2 linked regions of the Notamacropus eugenii genome follow. The protein of the gene in region 1 purifies or fractionates together with the protein of each later gene. This does not show direct contact. Links are inferred from orthologs where the notes say so. Each region holds a gene or a part of one and is shown on either strand. Other genes may lie near its edges.

What was found. The genes of interacting proteins can lie anywhere in the genome.
Region 2: the proteins of DLD (region 1) and DLAT purify together in Homo sapiens (affinity purification with mass spectrometry; 4 studies listed by BioGRID and IntAct, counting the BioPlex papers as one, with this or other methods). This does not show direct contact. The link is inferred for Notamacropus eugenii from reciprocal best matches to the Homo sapiens genes DLD and DLAT.

Annotation. Positions count from the first base shown.
Region 1 is NC_092874.1:147,497,748-147,505,753, reverse strand, and holds the start of DLD (dihydrolipoyl dehydrogenase, mitochondrial), read left to right. Parts: upstream 1-4,793; 5' UTR 4,794-4,921; coding exon 4,922-4,960; intron 4,961-7,494; coding exon 7,495-7,573; intron 7,574-8,006. UniProt on the Homo sapiens protein: Lipoamide dehydrogenase is a component of the glycine cleavage system as well as an E3 component of three alpha-ketoacid dehydrogenase complexes (pyruvate-, alpha-ketoglutarate-, and branched-chain amino acid-dehydrogenase complex).
Region 2 is NC_092876.1:142,178,204-142,186,659, reverse strand, and holds the start of DLAT (dihydrolipoyllysine-residue acetyltransferase component of pyruvate dehydrogenase complex, mitochondrial), read left to right. Parts: upstream 1-5,021; 5' UTR 5,022-5,136; coding exon 5,137-5,415; intron 5,416-5,760; coding exon 5,761-5,862; intron 5,863-6,163; coding exon 6,164-6,288; intron 6,289-6,447; coding exon 6,448-6,604; intron 6,605-8,456.

The DNA of each region.
Region 1 (8,006 bases):
ATAATAGCACCTGCCTCCTAGGGCTGTTCTGAGGACCAAATGAATATTTGTATTTATAAATTAAATTTGTAAGTTAGATATTTGCAAAGTGCTTAGCACAGGACCTGCCTTAATAAATAATAAATGCTTATTTTTTCTCTTCCTCCCTCTTTTCTTTCTTTCCTCTTCTTTCTCCCTCCCTCCTTCTGTATCTCTCTCCTTTCCTTCTTCCCTCTTTTGATCCTTCCCTCTTTTTTTCCTCCTTTTTTCCTCCCTCCCTCTTTTCCTTTTTCCCTCCATCCTTACCTCCTTCTTTTTCTTCTTTTCTTTCCTTCCTTTCCTCTTCCCTCTTTCCTTTCTTATCTCCCTCTTCCTTCCCTTCTTTCCCTTATTTACTCCCTCCCTCTCACATCTTTCCTCTTTCTTTCTTTTCCTCCTTCCCTGTCACTTCCTTACCATGGGCAAATCACTTTACATTTTTGCATTTCCATTTCCTCATCTGTAAAATGGTAATAATAATATCTCTATGTCTCAGGGTTGTTGTTGGATTCAAATCAGACAATATGTATAGAGCATTTGGGAAGCCTTAAAACTCAGAAACTTAAATGACTCTCTGCTCTCACTAATTTGGAAGTCAGCAATGTGGACTATAATTCATTCATTCCTTTCCTATCCTGTGTGACTCTTCTTCCCAAAGATCACCGCAGGAGATCCATCCAACATGTTGGTAGCCTTCCTCCCTTTCTTCTGACATTGTAAAGTACTAAGGGAGCACTCTGGTTGTCCACCCATTGTTCCCTCCCTCTTGTCATATGACTAGCAATTCTTCTTGCTGGCAAGCAACTCCTTTCTTTATTTCTTCTCATGGTTACATATGGTAGCCTGATCACATCCACCTTGTATCTTTTCATTGCCTTCTATGTGGAACTCATTTTTAGTTTTTCATACAGGGTAGTGTTTCATGTCTCACTACCATATAACAGCACTAGTAAAATGTTAGTATTGGGAGAGGGAAAGGAGTTTTTACTTTTATGGGAAGCTTGGGATCAGTAAATGAGCTTTGTAATTCCTGAAAGTAATCCAAATCACTTTCTTCTGTTCAGCTCTGGGCTGACAAAAGGCCAAGGTCTTCCACTGCATCAGGGCCATCTCCAGTTGTCCTGATCTATATCTTGCCACTGAACCCAGATGGCTGCAGAGGAGAAAGTGAGGTTGGTGACTTTGCACAACCATTTGCAAGTCATGGCATCACCTTCCTGATGTCATCAGGAATGAAGGACAATCAATAACCTGTGAGTACTTGTGAGTAGTACAAGTGCCTCATTGGGGACCCAACTAGCATGTTCTAGTTGGGCAGCACAGCTCCTCCCCTCTCCTTCCATACATGCCTTTATCTGCAGGTACTCAGCCTAAAGGAATGTAAATTTGAAACATCTCAAGATATTTTGGGGTTTATAGGCTAGATTTCTTTCTTAAGGGCCAAATCTTAAGTGCAATTCACTCTGACTCTCATTGATCGATCAACAATAGGTCCCAACTCAAGCACCACTTAATGGTCATACTTTGGGCCCTGTTTGGCTCAGAGTAAATGCAAATAGTATTTATTTCTGTTTTGACCAGAAACCCCAAGGGTCTTCCCAACCTGACTGATTTTTTTTTTTTTACTAGATCAAAGAGACCATTCTTTGCCACACTTCTTATCTACCCTTAATCACTGAATGTGTGCTGCCTCAGTCAGACTGAGACCTGGGAAAGACCTTACCTTAAAAAAGTCCAAGTTCTCCCACTGCATCTATGGCCATCATCATCAATAACAACAGCAACTCTGGGCTATCTGTACTTTCTGTCCTGGGTGTCACACACACACACACACACACACACACACACACATACACACACACACACAACTGTACAAGCTCTTTAGGGTGTTCATCCAAATGTATGTTGAAATTCAGCAATAGACATTCTTTATCCACTTGGTTTTTCCTATGTGTATGGAAAGGTGAAACTTCTTTGAGTGATTATAGATCTCTACTATCAATGTTCTGAGGCTTGGTGCAACCAGCACAATGTTATTCATAAAGAGGTGCATCTAATGGACTTCACAGAAAATGTGAGGAAATTTCTCTCTGACCTGGATTCTGCATTCTTTGATCACAGTGGTAAATACCTTTTTGAAAACATGACATCTACTTGATATATGCTTTGATGGATATTTGTTTTCAGAGGCTCAATGAATAAGATTATCTGTTTTGTTACATCTTCTAAGGAATCTTGAATGAACTTGATATGTGGATGCAATCTATATCAGGGGAATGATACAAAATCTTTGCCTGTCTTAGAGGCCTTTGTGGAAGGGCTGCCCCTCTCTTCCACAGAGGATAAATAAGGACTCTCACCCTCACCCAATGAATCAGAATTACCACCAAGTCAACAAAGTCTTTCTTCCAGGTAAATATATTCATTCTAATTATATAGCAACAATTTCATCTTCTTCATGCTCTTAGAAAGCAAGACACTCCAACGGTACCACTTTCTGGGAAGAGGTTCCTAAATTATCCCAAAGAAAAGGAAATCTGCCAATCAAGGGAGACCTGAGCTACTTTTCCAGGGTACATGGAACAATCTGAAGGGGCAGGCCCATGAAGCTAAGGCAACTCTTTGCTGGGGAAGGAATAAGGAAAGACTGGAGAGGATCAGCTAAAACTATTTCTAAAAATAGTTCATTCTCATCAGATAAGTCTTCCTGAAGACTGGATCCAAGAAACCACTGGATAAGACAGTCTTTCTCCTTTCCAGATGAGCATTGATTTGTCACACATATAGCCTCTGGGAGCTGGACACTTAATATGAGCTGTCAAATTCATAAAGATATAGCAGCTCAGCAGTAGGGGCAAAAGTCTTGCCCTGGGCTAAGAGAGTTCAATTTTGCCAGTTGGAGACTGGTTAGAGGCCACTTTGGTCAGGAATGGTTGGCTTGTTCTTAGTGACAGGGTCCTATGCCCATCACAGTATGATATCACTAACCAATATACATTGCTTGTGATATACCTTGGTGGAGAAAAGTGAAATAAATAATTATCAACAATAATTGAAAAAAATAATTATCAATAATAATTGAAATCAATAACTTATCTAGATATGGTTATCTAGTTTTACCAAGAAATTCCCATGCAAAAATCAGAAATAAAACTAAGGTAAAAATACTTTTGGGGGCTGGGATGGGGTGAAGGAGTGATCTAGCTTCTTTTCTTTTTCCCTTTTAAAATGTTTTTTTTGGGGTTACATCACTGTCACTTCCCAATGACTTCCCTGCACATAGAATCTTCCATTGTAACAAAGTAGGACATTTAAGTAAAACAATTCAACACATAAGTCAAGTCTGACAAGGTATCCTTCATTCTGCACCTATAATCCACCACTTCTGGGCATGCTTCATGAGTCCTCTGAAGTCATGATTGGTTACATTATAGTCTATACCTGCCATCACACAACTAGTGAGTACCTGAGCCCCGTTTTGAATCCGTGATATCTGGATCCAGCTAGGAATAAATGTCCTAGATTACCCTGAACCTAGTCTAACTGACTTGTTCTCTTCAGCTTTTACAGATAGGCCCTAAATTAAAACAAAATAAAACAAAACAGGGCACCTAGTTCCCCCAAAACATTTTCTTTTAAAGAGAGTAATGTTGGAGAAAGGAAAGGAGGTTAGACCTCTGCTTTTCAGAGACTTCACTGCCATTTGTTTTACTTAGGAGAATTAGGAGGGGAAACAATAGATGGAAATTACTTGCTACCTAATTACTGTCAATTGAATTTTTAATCAGCTGTAATGCTTGACACCTCTGCTTACCATACAAATGGTGTCCAAATTGCAGGAAAGGACCTAACACTGACCTTTATGGCTCTCTGACAGGTTGGTTTCTCACATTATTATCATATTACCTCCAACTCATGGTCTCATTCAGCTAAGAAAACACGTCATTCACTAAGGTTCCTTCCACCAGAGTGACTTGTTTTTCCTGTTTGTACAGCAAAAGAGGAATTCAGGGATTCTGAAACTGGGGATTGTGTACTGGAGAGGAATGGTCTTGGTTGTGGCAAGATGGAAGAGTGAATTACATTTTTTTGGACTGAATTTGCTATTGTTTTACAATTTCTGAGCTGGAATCTCCCTCTGCCAGTGCAGATCATAGTCTTCTCTGCAGCTTACAGGTCTCAGAGGGTTTTCTTGGGGGCCTGAGGTTAGTGACTTGCCCAGGGTCACACCTTCAGTAGCTGTCTGACACAGGACTGTGAACTCAGTTCTTATAAGCTGGGGGTCAGCCACTACCTCCCCCCCTTCTCAAGGGAATGAGAAGGCGATGAAATCTATAAAGGAAAGATCCAATTTTTCCTTTCTTTTCTCCTACTGTCATTTTTTTTGGTTCCAGGACCCTTTCACACTCTTAGCATACTGAGAACCCCAAAGAGCTTTTATTTAGGGGAGAGAGTGAAGGAAATAAACATTCACATACATACATACATATATACGTATATATATATTTATAAAATGCACTATGTGCCAGGCACCGTTAGGAATTAAAGCATCTTAAGTTTTATTTGAACTCAGGAAGATGAGTCTTTCCGGCTGCTGGCCCCGAACGCCGCCCCTCCCTTAGAAAGGGAATTTATAATCTAGATAAAGCAGAACTCCTTGAACACCCCAGCCTGTCCGGAAGGGAGCCAGCGGTTCCTTAGTCCCACCCCCTCCTAAGGACACGCCCAGTCTCGGGGGAGGTTCCCGCCTTCTACTTCCGGGGCGTCCCAGCCAATCCGAGAGCTCGCCGCGGGCCGTCGGGATAGGGGCCAGGTGCGCAGGCGCAGCTTTGAGTCCTTGGCGCTGTGGAGGCCGCTTTTGGCGGAGGTGAAATCTCACGGCGGCGGGTCATCCAGGAGAAAAATGCAGAGCTGGAGCCGTGTGTCCTGCGCCCTGGCCAAAGTAAGGGACAGCCCCGCCGCCTGGGGTGGGAATGGTCAGGAAGATGGGGGGCCCGCGGGGACGGGCCGGCTAGCTAACGGGACTAGGCCCCAAGCCTGAAGGGGCAGGACCGCGGCCTGGGCTGGTGTCTCCCCATGGCTGCCTAACCCAGCCTGGGGGCGGGGGGAGAAAAGCTTGTCTTTGGCCTAGTTGTCCTCGGCCCCGCTCCCGGCCTGCTCGGGGTCACCCTCACGCTCCTTGCCCCAGCCTTGCCCTCAAGGGGAGCCCGAGGCGGGGAAGCCAGGCCACCTTCCGCCGCGCTCCCCAGCCCCTCCCTCCTTCCACTTTAAATGTCACTTGTGTCCTAGGAGCCCCTAGTCCAGGACGCTACGTGCTGCCCCAGCCTCCGCTTTGGGAGAGGCGGCCGGGACGGAGCAGCTCTTAGGCTGCAGGAGTAACCACGCTCCTTTCTAAGACCTAGGCGGCCCTCCGCACAGCTCTGCTAAGTAAACCATCAGCACAGTACCATCGTGCCCATCTCACAAAGGTGGAACCGGAGGCGGCTCAGGGCACCGACGTGATGTCCCTCCTAGTTTCCCATGCCAGCAGGATAGAAACTTAGTTCTTACATTTACACGACAAGCCTCAGTCTGCTTTCCTCGCCCATCCTTGGCAAGACTCGTACTCTTTGGGCATGCTGGGGTGTAAGCTCCTGGGGGGCCAGGCCATTTTTTGCCTCTTTTTGTATCCCCAGCCTTTAATACAGGGCCTGACACATAGTAGGCATATAATAAATGTTTATCGAATGGAACTGGTAGAACTATTAACGCGGACCATATTAGGAGATCCCAGAGTCATGCTATTGGTTGGCATTGGTTGGCCAAAAATCCACTCCACCACCATCTCAATAAATAGACATCCTCCTACCTCTGCTTAAGAGACATATTTCTTTCCACTCCTTCTTCTTGACGAAGAAACTGAGGTCCGAAGAGGTTTTATTTTTTTCTCAGATCCCTGGGAAAATTAATTACAGCCTTTACTAGCTGTTTCCCTTTGTCATAAGGAATATTTTGGATAGAGAAATTATTGTTAAAATTTTTGTTTTGCTTCTCACTCTCCCGTGCAAAATGATAAGAGCCAGTTGCTTGATCTCCTTGTGCCTCAACGTCCACATTAATACTAGCTAACACGTCTTAAGAGTGTTTTGAAAGTTGTACAGCTGGTCCGTGCTATACTGTCTTCTGAAGAATTGTGTCCTAGAAATGTAAAATTTAACCGTTTAACTTATGTTTTGTTAGATTATTTCAGATGAATCCAACCTTACTTCATTACTCTCCATATTTTTTTTGTCCTCCAAACTGTACTACTTCCTGTCCCCCTCTACAGCTCTCCCACTTCATGCTTATTTTTTTCCATCTTACACTACTTTCATATTCTTTTTACTTTGCTTGGACTATATTTGAAACGTTCTTCCTCTTTACAGGTTCAACTGATTACCAGTCCTTTAAAGGGAAATTGAGTCACTTCTTCCTTTTGGAGCAGGGATTGTTTAATTCATTGTATTTGTATCCCCAAAACGGTGCTTGACAGAGTAGATGACTGATAGATCGTGAATCATCCCTACTCTACTATAGTTCTTCCTCCTAATTCACTTATCTCTTTGTTTTGCCACTCTTTAATGTCCTGTTAAAAGTAGCATTGTATTATAGTTGTGTGTCTTACCCTAACCTAGACTGAAAACTTCCTGAAGGGAGGAGCCATATTTTATTGAAACTTTTAGAGATTTCCCCTGGGTGTTTAGTATAGTGCTTTGTACAAAATTTGAACTTAGTGTTTGTTCCATAGTCAGTCAACTAAGAAACATCTTCATAGGACCTTCTCAGCAAATATTGCAGATTGTATATGAATGACATATTGAGGGAGAAAAGTAAAAAATACTAAAGGGTTAGGGTCACAGATTTATTCAGGTCAGTGATAAATTAGAGCTTAATATATTAAAAATTAGATAAATACATTATTTTAAGTAAAGGGATTTTGACTGAATTATGAGGACATTTAGCTGTACTTTTCTGAAATTTTGCCAGTCAGTAAGCAAGTAAGTGCCTATTTGGTACTAAGGAACTATGCTAGGTACTGGGGATGCAAAAGTATTCTTGTTCTTAACTTTAAGGAGCTTGTCTTCTGTTGGGGAAGACAACATGCATGCACAGATATAAATCTATACAGAATAAATACAAAATAATTAAAATTCTCTCCTTTGGTATGTGAATATGCATTATATATAGTTTGTTTTTCTTTCATAGAGTATAATAAATTCAGTATGTTATTTTCAAAGCTGTCCTGTCTGTTTCTTACTGAACTTTCCCCTCTTCTTTTCTGAACATTTAGAAGAAATACTTCAGTGACTCTTTTTTCCCTTTTAAAAATTTTGATAATCCTTCTTGTCTTTTATATAACAATGGAAATTAGAAATAGTGTAAGTATTCTTACCAACTTTGAACTGTATTGGAGTTAAATATTTACATACTGTGAAACTTGCTTTTTATCTCTTCAAGAGAGGCCACTTCAGCCGAATGCCTTATGGCCTACCAGGGATTTCTGCAGTTCCTTTGAGAACTTATGCAGATCAACCAAGTAAGTGCACTTTTTCTGGTAAATTTATTTCATATCAGATTGGTAGTTTCCTTAAGTTCTAAAACAAAAAACAGAATGATTATTAACAAAGCAATCTGTGGTATAGAGTTGACTATTTCATAGTATTTGGAATATTGAAATTAAATTATTAAATGCATACTGAACATAAGCAAGTGATACAGAAATGAATATTATAATAAAGATAGAACGTAGTTGTATATCCATTAGAATAATTTTGGGGTTTCCTGGACTTTTAGAAGGCAATGGTTTGTTTGACTGCAAGGTGGAATATCATTGATTCTTTACCAATGTACCTTGAATATCATGATGGAAATATATGATAATAGTAATTAATAGCTGATATTTACTGAATACATTAAGATTAATAAACCTATATATGTGTCTGTGTGTATGTATATCTATAGATATGTAT
Region 2 (8,456 bases), on another chromosome or scaffold:
AGAAAATACATCAGTGGGATCATAAAAACATTGAAATGTACTTTTGTAAGTATGTCCCTCGGCTTATAAAACAAAGGAACTACAGAGCTTCCACTACAAAGTAATGGGGATTAGTTGTAAATGTAAATTCCCCACCTGAATGCAGCACCAATAAACATTTAATAACCCCACATTTACTGTCTGCTGAGCACCTTGTTAGGCCTTAGGGAAGATAGTTTACATAATAGGACAGAGTCCCAGCCACCAGTGGGCTTAAGAGTCTTAGAGCGTAAAGCATAATCAAATGAATGTTGAACTTGAGGTCAAGAGATCTGGGTTTGAATCCTACCTCAGACATTTAACTAGTATGAGGGAGGATGGTGTTTTACAACCCTGAAAATTCAATGTAATTTCAAATTCAGGTAGAGGTGATAAAAGATAGCCTTTGAGATACTTTACAACTCTCACATGCTATGTTGGGTAGGAATTTTATAGGCAAACGGAGGGAGAAAGTCCCATTTCATCCCCAGTATACGGAACAATCAGAGCAAAAGTATGGAGACATAAGAACCGTGCATGTTTAGGGGATAGAAAGTTATCCAATTTGACTGAAATGTAGAGGAGGGACATGAGAGCTATTTCAAGTACTTGAAGCTGTCTTCTGGAAGAGGAATTAAATTTGTTTTTGCTTGGCCTCAGAGAAGCAGAAGTAGGAGCAGTGGATATAAGATTGAGGAGAAAATTTTGGCTTAAGAGAAGGGAAAACTTCTAAAGGTTGCCTTATGAGGAAATGTATTCCCCTTCATTTGAAGTCTTCCAACAAAAGCTAGATGACCTACCTGTTTGGTATGCTGTTGAGGATATTCTTGGTCAGGTATGGGTTGGATTAGATGGTCTATAAAATCCTGCTCACCTCTGATTCTGTGCATGGAAGTGATTAATACAAGATAAGGCAGGAAAAGGAAGCTAAATTATGAAGAGTCTTGAATGCCAGATAGATGTCTGAACTCTCCCTGGGTCTCACTGACAGGTTGGGTCCCCCAGAAGTAACTGTTATTCCTCTCAAGGTTCTAGGGACAATCCCATGAGTGATTATCATTCCAAATGCCAGCTCATAAGCCCCCACTAGTATGCTTCCCCTTACAATCAATTAGTAGGTTCATTTAGTTCTTTAGCAAAGGCATTTATTCAAATAGCATAGCAAAAAACAGTAAGTAGTCACAAAGCATTTTTTTCCAATATAAAGGACATATTCTTCCACAAATACACTCAGAAATCAGGAAGCTGGTAAGAGTGGACATGAACTTAAAAGGTGTGTGTGTTCATCCTTCGTTGCCAAAGAAGACCATGCCATCAGAGAAACGATGACATGACTTGTACTTGTGAGGGAGGGTTGTACAGGTTGCCAGCCTCACTTCTCCTCCACAGCCAACTGAATCCAGTGACTTGATATTCCTCGGGATGACTAGAGATAACCCAGGATGAGACAATTGGGGTTAAGTGACTTGCCCAAGGTCACATAGCTAGTGAGTGTCAAGTGTCTGAGGTGAGATTTGAACTCATGTCCTCCTGACTCCTGCACTGGTGCTCTATCCACTGTACCACCTAGCTGCCCGTTGAATTTAAAATACAGTGGTAATGAAACACAAGTACTAGGGAACCCATATGGCTAGGCAATTCACTATTCCAGAGCTTCTAGGCCTCATTGTCCTTTCTTCAGAGGGTCATCACAAAGTTAACTTCTGGGCCTGCTCTTGAGGGTGTATTCTTTTTCTTCTTTTAGTCACTACTGTCTTCAGCTGGAAGAGTATCAGCATGCTCCTTTCAGCTGGAGTACTTTAGAACTCTTTTTAACTCTTGTGATCGTTCTGAAACTTGGACTTATTCATTTAGTGTTATCATGAGTCAGGTGGATTTCATAGGTCCAGGAAAAAGTAGGACCTACAGAAAGGAGGGCTGTTGGATTCCTGACTGAGGACAAAAAAACAGAAGCCTCTGTGGGTCCTTGTGAGCCTTCTTCTAATGGCCAAGCCTCTGCAATTCTTTGAAGTTGATTAAACAACCTTTCCAATTGTAAGGATGTAGGAAAACTTGCACACCTCTTTTTTTCTAGATGAAGAAACTGAAGTGGAGAGAAGACTTGCCCAAGGCCACATATATGTAACTCAGGGCCTTTTTTCCTTCATTGTTGAGGGCCAGGGTGGAGTGCTGTTGACAAGATCAGGAAAGATCTTTGGGGAAACTGTTCTTTGAGACTGTGCTCATTATCATGCGGAATGGCTCTCCACGCTCCCCAGACGTTGCTATCTCCGTGAGACAAACATGGGAACTACAGAAAACAAGGGATATGTAAAATAGATGTCCTGTAGGCTAACAGTCTTTAAAGACAATAAGACTGGCCAAATCACTGGGACAGGAGACGAGCAGAATGTCACATAGACTTGCAGTTTCTGTCTATATATACCCTAACCCTCGGATCAATAAATGGAATTGGTCTATCTTTTCCCGCCTCCCGTGTCTCTTTTCTTCACCACTTCACCGAGCTGTGTAGGGACGCGGGCCGTCTGCTACACTTCATCAACTTCCCAACCTGAAAGTAATTATATAACCCACTGCTTTATAATTAATATGATTAAATAATATTTATAACTCTGGGCGTACAGGCATTAGGGTCTATCTTATGTGCTTCTCCATAACAATAATAACTGATGTCTCTCTAAGGACACAGCTGACCTGCCAGAGCTTAGGCTAACAAGACATCAGATGTAGGACTGTTTTTATACCACCTGATAAAATACTTAATAGGCTTGAACCTGAGTCCATTAGAACTGCAGGACTGGGAAGTCCTTTGTCTCCTCATACAGTCCTCAATGTGGCCCACCTCTTGCTATCAATGGACTTTCTTCAGTCCATAGCAAACTTTTTATCTGTTCCCAGGGTTAAGTTCCAGTTGTTTCCTCCATTAAGGGCTATGTCTATGTATCAATCTGTGAGGTGTGTCTCTACTTCCTCAACTTGGCCTCAAATTTGCTCAGCCTGACTCCACTTTCTGGATGGGGTGCCTTCTTCACGGAGAGTAACTATGACTTGTGCAATCTTTGGCTCAAAAGGCTAACTATAATACGAGATTCTCTTCCTGTTGGTAGAGACTGTTCAATACCCTGCTTATGGAGGCCTTATAGACCAAGTTGGTGAGAGCTGGAGGCTTTTCTGCTATTCAACTTCAAAAGATACCATGATTCCAATCTTTTTTAACTAGATAACTGCTGATTAGGGGAGGAGGGAAAACACTTCATTCTAACCCTGGCACTGGGGATCTCACAGAGCAGCTGCTCCACAGATTTGATTACCTCCTACTAAGGAACTGCTAGATGATTTATCTAAGGGCCTAAGGGCACCGACTATTTATAATCTTCTTGTTGATTAAGGAAGTTTTAGTTACTTTTGGTACAAGGAAAACTTTTAACAAAACCTTTACATCAGTAAAACGATCCATCTCGCTAACATTCCTTCAGGCTCTATATCTTATGACTTTTTCTTATGATAATTACTGAATCAAACCTCCCAGCACGACTTCTGAATGGAATCGGTTACACAATGGAAATCCTTTGGTTACACAATAGTAACCTTAGGCAGGCAGGTGGGGTTAATGGTCTCATGTAATGGTTCACCAAGTATAGAGTAATTTTAGTAAGAGTCCACATTCTTTCCCCACTTCTCTGGCCAGGAACCCTGAGGTTGCGGGCGCCACCTGTCGGATGCTGGGGATCCTTAACTGAAACTTCTGTATTTGAACAAGAGGCACTGTGTTACTGAGGAAAGGGCACTGCATTTTGAGTCAAGGGTCCTGTTCTATACATAAATCACAAGTGGGAAGGCAGGGGGATTACAAACAGTCGTCCCCAGGGCCCGAGTGGTTCACTAGGACAAACCCACAAATGGAAGACAATCCAACAATTCTGGAGTATCGTGGGAGCAATATTGCTAGAGTCCTTGGGGAGCGGGTCGTTACTTAGTCACAGCAGGAGCAGGTTCCAGTCTTTGGCTTCACTTCAGGTACACAGGCAGAAGGATGCCAGTGATTGTGAGCCCCGCAAGGTGTGATTGATCAGTTCAAGCTGCATTGTGGGTCTGACTCACAAGCTGGAAAAGGCAATTCTGCAAAATCTGATCGATTAGCATATTCATTACACACATAAAATTGATTATAAAAATCAGAATTCCCTCCACAGACCTGTTTTTTACTATTCCACCAATAATTTTGGGCAATTCCTTTTATATCTCTCCGTCTGATCAGCTATAATAAAAGGAATTTGTCGTTTAGTCTAGTTCAGCTCTTTGTGACCCGATATGGGGTTTCTTGGCAAAAATACTGAAACAGCTTGCTATTTCCTTCTCCAGCTCATGTTACAGATAAGGAAACTGAGGCAAGCAGGATTAAGTGACTTGCCCAGGGTCACACAGCTAGTGAGCCTCTGAGACTGGATTCAAGCCCAAATTTTCCTGACTCCAGGGTGGGCCCCTAGCTGCCCAGCTGTAAAGTACTGTATTAAAATCCGGGTTCTGCTCCTGGCTCCCTGCGTACCTTGGGTAACGAGGCACCTGGACCTCAGTTTTCTCACCTGTAAAATGGGACAAGACAACTTTTTTCCACTTCTAAACCTCTGACCCTCAGACCAGAAATAAGCGCTGCGGTCCTCACTCCTCTCTCAGTGCCCGGCGCGGCCTTGAGCGAGTCACTCGAGGGCTCGGTGCCTCAGTTTCCTTCTCTGAAAAGCGGCGGGCTGGGGCAGACCCTCTCTGGGAAGCCTTCCCACGTCAAGCCCGGACGGCAGCTCGAGCACGACGGCGGCCCCTCGGCCTCGGCTCACGACGCTTCCCCTCTCCGTCCCAGCCCGGGCCTCTCCAAGGCTCGCTTTTCCCTCGCGCACCCCGGCGCTCCGCCCCACGCTCGTCCTCCCCCGAACCGCGGCCGGAGGAACTGGGCGGGACGACTTGGGAGGGACTTCCCTCGCTCTTTTACGACAGTACCCTCCTTTACCGTACGGCGCGGCGCGGTTGACGGCGGTGTCGCACGGTGGTCGCGGAGGTCACACAGGAGACGACGGCGGCTGCGGCGGCGGCTCCGGCTCACGGGCGCAGGCTCTCGGTGGCACAATGTGGCGAGTGTGCGCGCGGCGAGCCCGGTGCGCGGCCCAGCGGACGGGGTTTGGGAGCCCGGCCGCAGCCGTGGCCCCGAGGGAGGGCCCTGCGGGGCTGGCCCCTGGCCCGGCCGCCACCCCTAGGCTCTCGCGTTCTTCCCACTGCGGGGCTGGGGCGCTGCAGGGCTGGGGGCCTGGCTCCGGCTCGGCGGCCGTGCCGCGGGCTCGGCTGCTGCAGCTGCAGCTCTTGGGGACCCCGGGCCGGCGCTGGTACAGCCTCCCCCCCCACCAGAAGGTGAGGCCGCCCCCCGGCCCCCAGGCCCTGGTCCTTGACCCGGGGGTCTCGGGCCTTCCAGGCCTGGGCCGGAGACCCCCTCCTCCCGGCGAGTCCTCCCCATCCTGCCCTCTCCCCACCCTCACCCCCACCCCGTCCCGGTGGCTGGGGGCCGGGAGGGGACTGCGTGACAGACTGGAAATGTCACCTGAGAGGTAGCGTTCCTGCTGCCAACTCCACAGGGACGGGCTCATGGCAAGGAGCTGGAGCGTCTCACCGGGCTTCCGAAGGGGGCCCCGGAGCCCGGGAGGGAAGAAGCAGTGCTTGCCCTTTCGAAAGCAGGTGTCCCTTCTCTTTTCTTTCCAGGTTCCTTTGCCTTCTCTTTCCCCCACGATGCAGGCGGGCACCATTGCCCGATGGGAGAAAAAGGAAGGTGAGAAGATCAACGAGGGTGACCTTATAGCCGAAGTAAGTAGTTTGGAGAGGTGGGAAACTGAAAGCATTCGGATCGGGGTGCCTCGGAACTAACTCGGTTGTCTGGGTGGATAGTCTGAAGTATGCCGCAGCTTTGCTGGATGTCTTTCATAAGTCTGTCGGTGCATGAATGACCAAGCTGATTTTTATCTGAGAAGTCTTTAACAGCTTCTTTGATGTCTTTACAAAGGTGAAAGTTTTATTTTCACTTGTGAACTTTTTAATGCCAAATTAAGGTAATAAACGTCAGTCTGGCTGTGAGTATTTGAAAACATCCCATGTCTTCTGTTTGAAGGTTGAAACAGACAAAGCCACAGTTGGATTTGAGAGCCTAGAAGAGTGCTACCTGGCTAAGATAATTGTTCCAGAAGGTACCAGAGATGTTCCAATTGGAGCAGTCATCTGTATCACTGTTGAAAAGTAAATACTCTTGATTTTATCTGCTTGAACATTTCCATGCGCAACAGTTGGATATTGATGTGTTTGAACCTAGAATTGAGGGATGGCTAGAAGTTACCTTTTCCTCCATGACTCACAAGGGTAATGAAAATGTCTATGTGTGTTTTCTTCCCACCTTAGAGCAGAGGATGTGGATGCATTTAAAAATTACACCCTGGATTCCGCAGCAGCAGCAGCCCCCCCCACCCCACAGACTTCCACACCTCCTCCCCCTGCTTCTGTGCCTTCAACACCTTCTGTTCAGGCTCCAGGAAGCTCGTATCCTCCTCATATGCAGGTAAAGTTTAACTATTGAACTTTCCCAAGAATTTGCCTTTTCAATTGATTATTAATTCCTTTACATTTGTGTGTGTATTACTAATCTTGAGGAAGCTTAAAAACTGAAGTGGTTTATAGTTAGGTCTTTCTGCAAAGATAAAACAGTTTCCATATAGGAGTAAATAACAAGCATGAAAACTCAAGCTGTACCCATACCTGGAGGGTTCCTTTCAACCTGATCTCTGCCTTTTAAAGTACTACCTCTAGGTGACACCTTTTCTGTGAAGCCTTCATTGAGTATGCTCATTCCCTTCTATTTATCTGTTTGTATACATGTTGTTTTTCTGGTGTCTGTTCACAGTCCCTTACACTTAGTGAAAACTGAGTGAAGTTTATTCCCACATGTGACCTTGGACAGCTCCTTGGACCTTGCTGAGCCTGAGTGTTTCCATTTGTAGATCTAGTAGTTTAACGCTGCCTTCTTCCCGTGTCAGGGACGTTGCAAGTGTAGTAAATTATAAACCCATAATCAATATTTTGTAGTTTTTTTTCCTAAACATGTTATAATTGAAATCCAGAGACATGTTTGTCAAGTGCCTTTCCTTTTCTTTGTTTGTGATTAATTATGTCCTCTAAATTTAAATGGGATGGTTCTAGTCTTTCAGTAACACTGATGGTTTAAAGTTAGGAAACTGACAGCAACTAATGTGTATAAATTTAAATGTGTAAATAAACATTTGTTTAGAAACATAAGACATTAAGGCCCTCTTACTATAAAGATTTTATGACTTTTAAACATTGAGTTAGGTCAGAGTTGCTTGAAATAAATCTAGTATCTATTCATGATAGATGTATCTCTCATGATAGAGATAAAAGATGGAAAGTATTCAGCAGTATCTTCCTCCTGAAAGTTGGTTCAAACCAATATATCATTTATATGGCTCTGTCATTTGCCACTTTGTAGAGATTTCCAAAGAGGAATTATTTCTATTTTTTGGGGGAGGATCATGCTCCTCCTTATCATACTCTGACATCCCCTTGCTATTACCAGTGAGAAACTGGTATATTCAGTTTAAGCTCGTGTTTCTTCACTCTGCATTGTTGTGTTCCCTTGAATAATTATGCCTCTTTTGTTATTTTCTCTTTTATGCTCAGACTCTGCATCTTAAATAATTCACACATTTTAAAAAATTGTTTTGTTAATCTTAGTAATCAGATAATGATGACAAGTTTTAGAAGGAAGATTACTTTTGATCTGAGTCACCTGGTTTGCTGTTTTTGGGAATATATGAATCGTTATTGTTGTGTTTGTCCTTTGCTGCCAAAGAAGACCATGCCATCAGAGAAATGATAACATGACTTGTACTTTGTTTTGAGTGAAGGAGGACTGTGCAAGGTCACCAGCCTCACTTCTGCCCTGGAGCCATCTGGATCCAGTGACCAGATATTCATGAGGATGATTGGAGATGGCCCAGGATGCAGTGGGAGACTTTGGCCCCTTTAGTCCAAGGCCTATTTGGTTCTCACTTAGAGTGAGATAACACCCATTTAGTGAATAGGCCTGTTTAAGCAGTAGTCAGGGGATGGCCCCTTTAATGAGGCAAAGAAAAATAACTACATCAGGCTGGGAGGGAAACAGCAACAGTTACTATTGATAATCACTCTTAAGCCAGGAGGGTCCAGAAAACAGCCCTTAAAAGTGACCATTATGATATGGTGGTTATAGAATTGTTGTGGTTCTTTCATAAGCTTCTAAGTAGTTTTTAGAAAAAAAATGATAGTAAGTGCCTGCTATGGAAAGTTTAAAAATTCCTGTTGAAAATGTTTTGTGGCTTTCTCCCTTAGAGATCTTGGAAAGATAACCCTGAGTA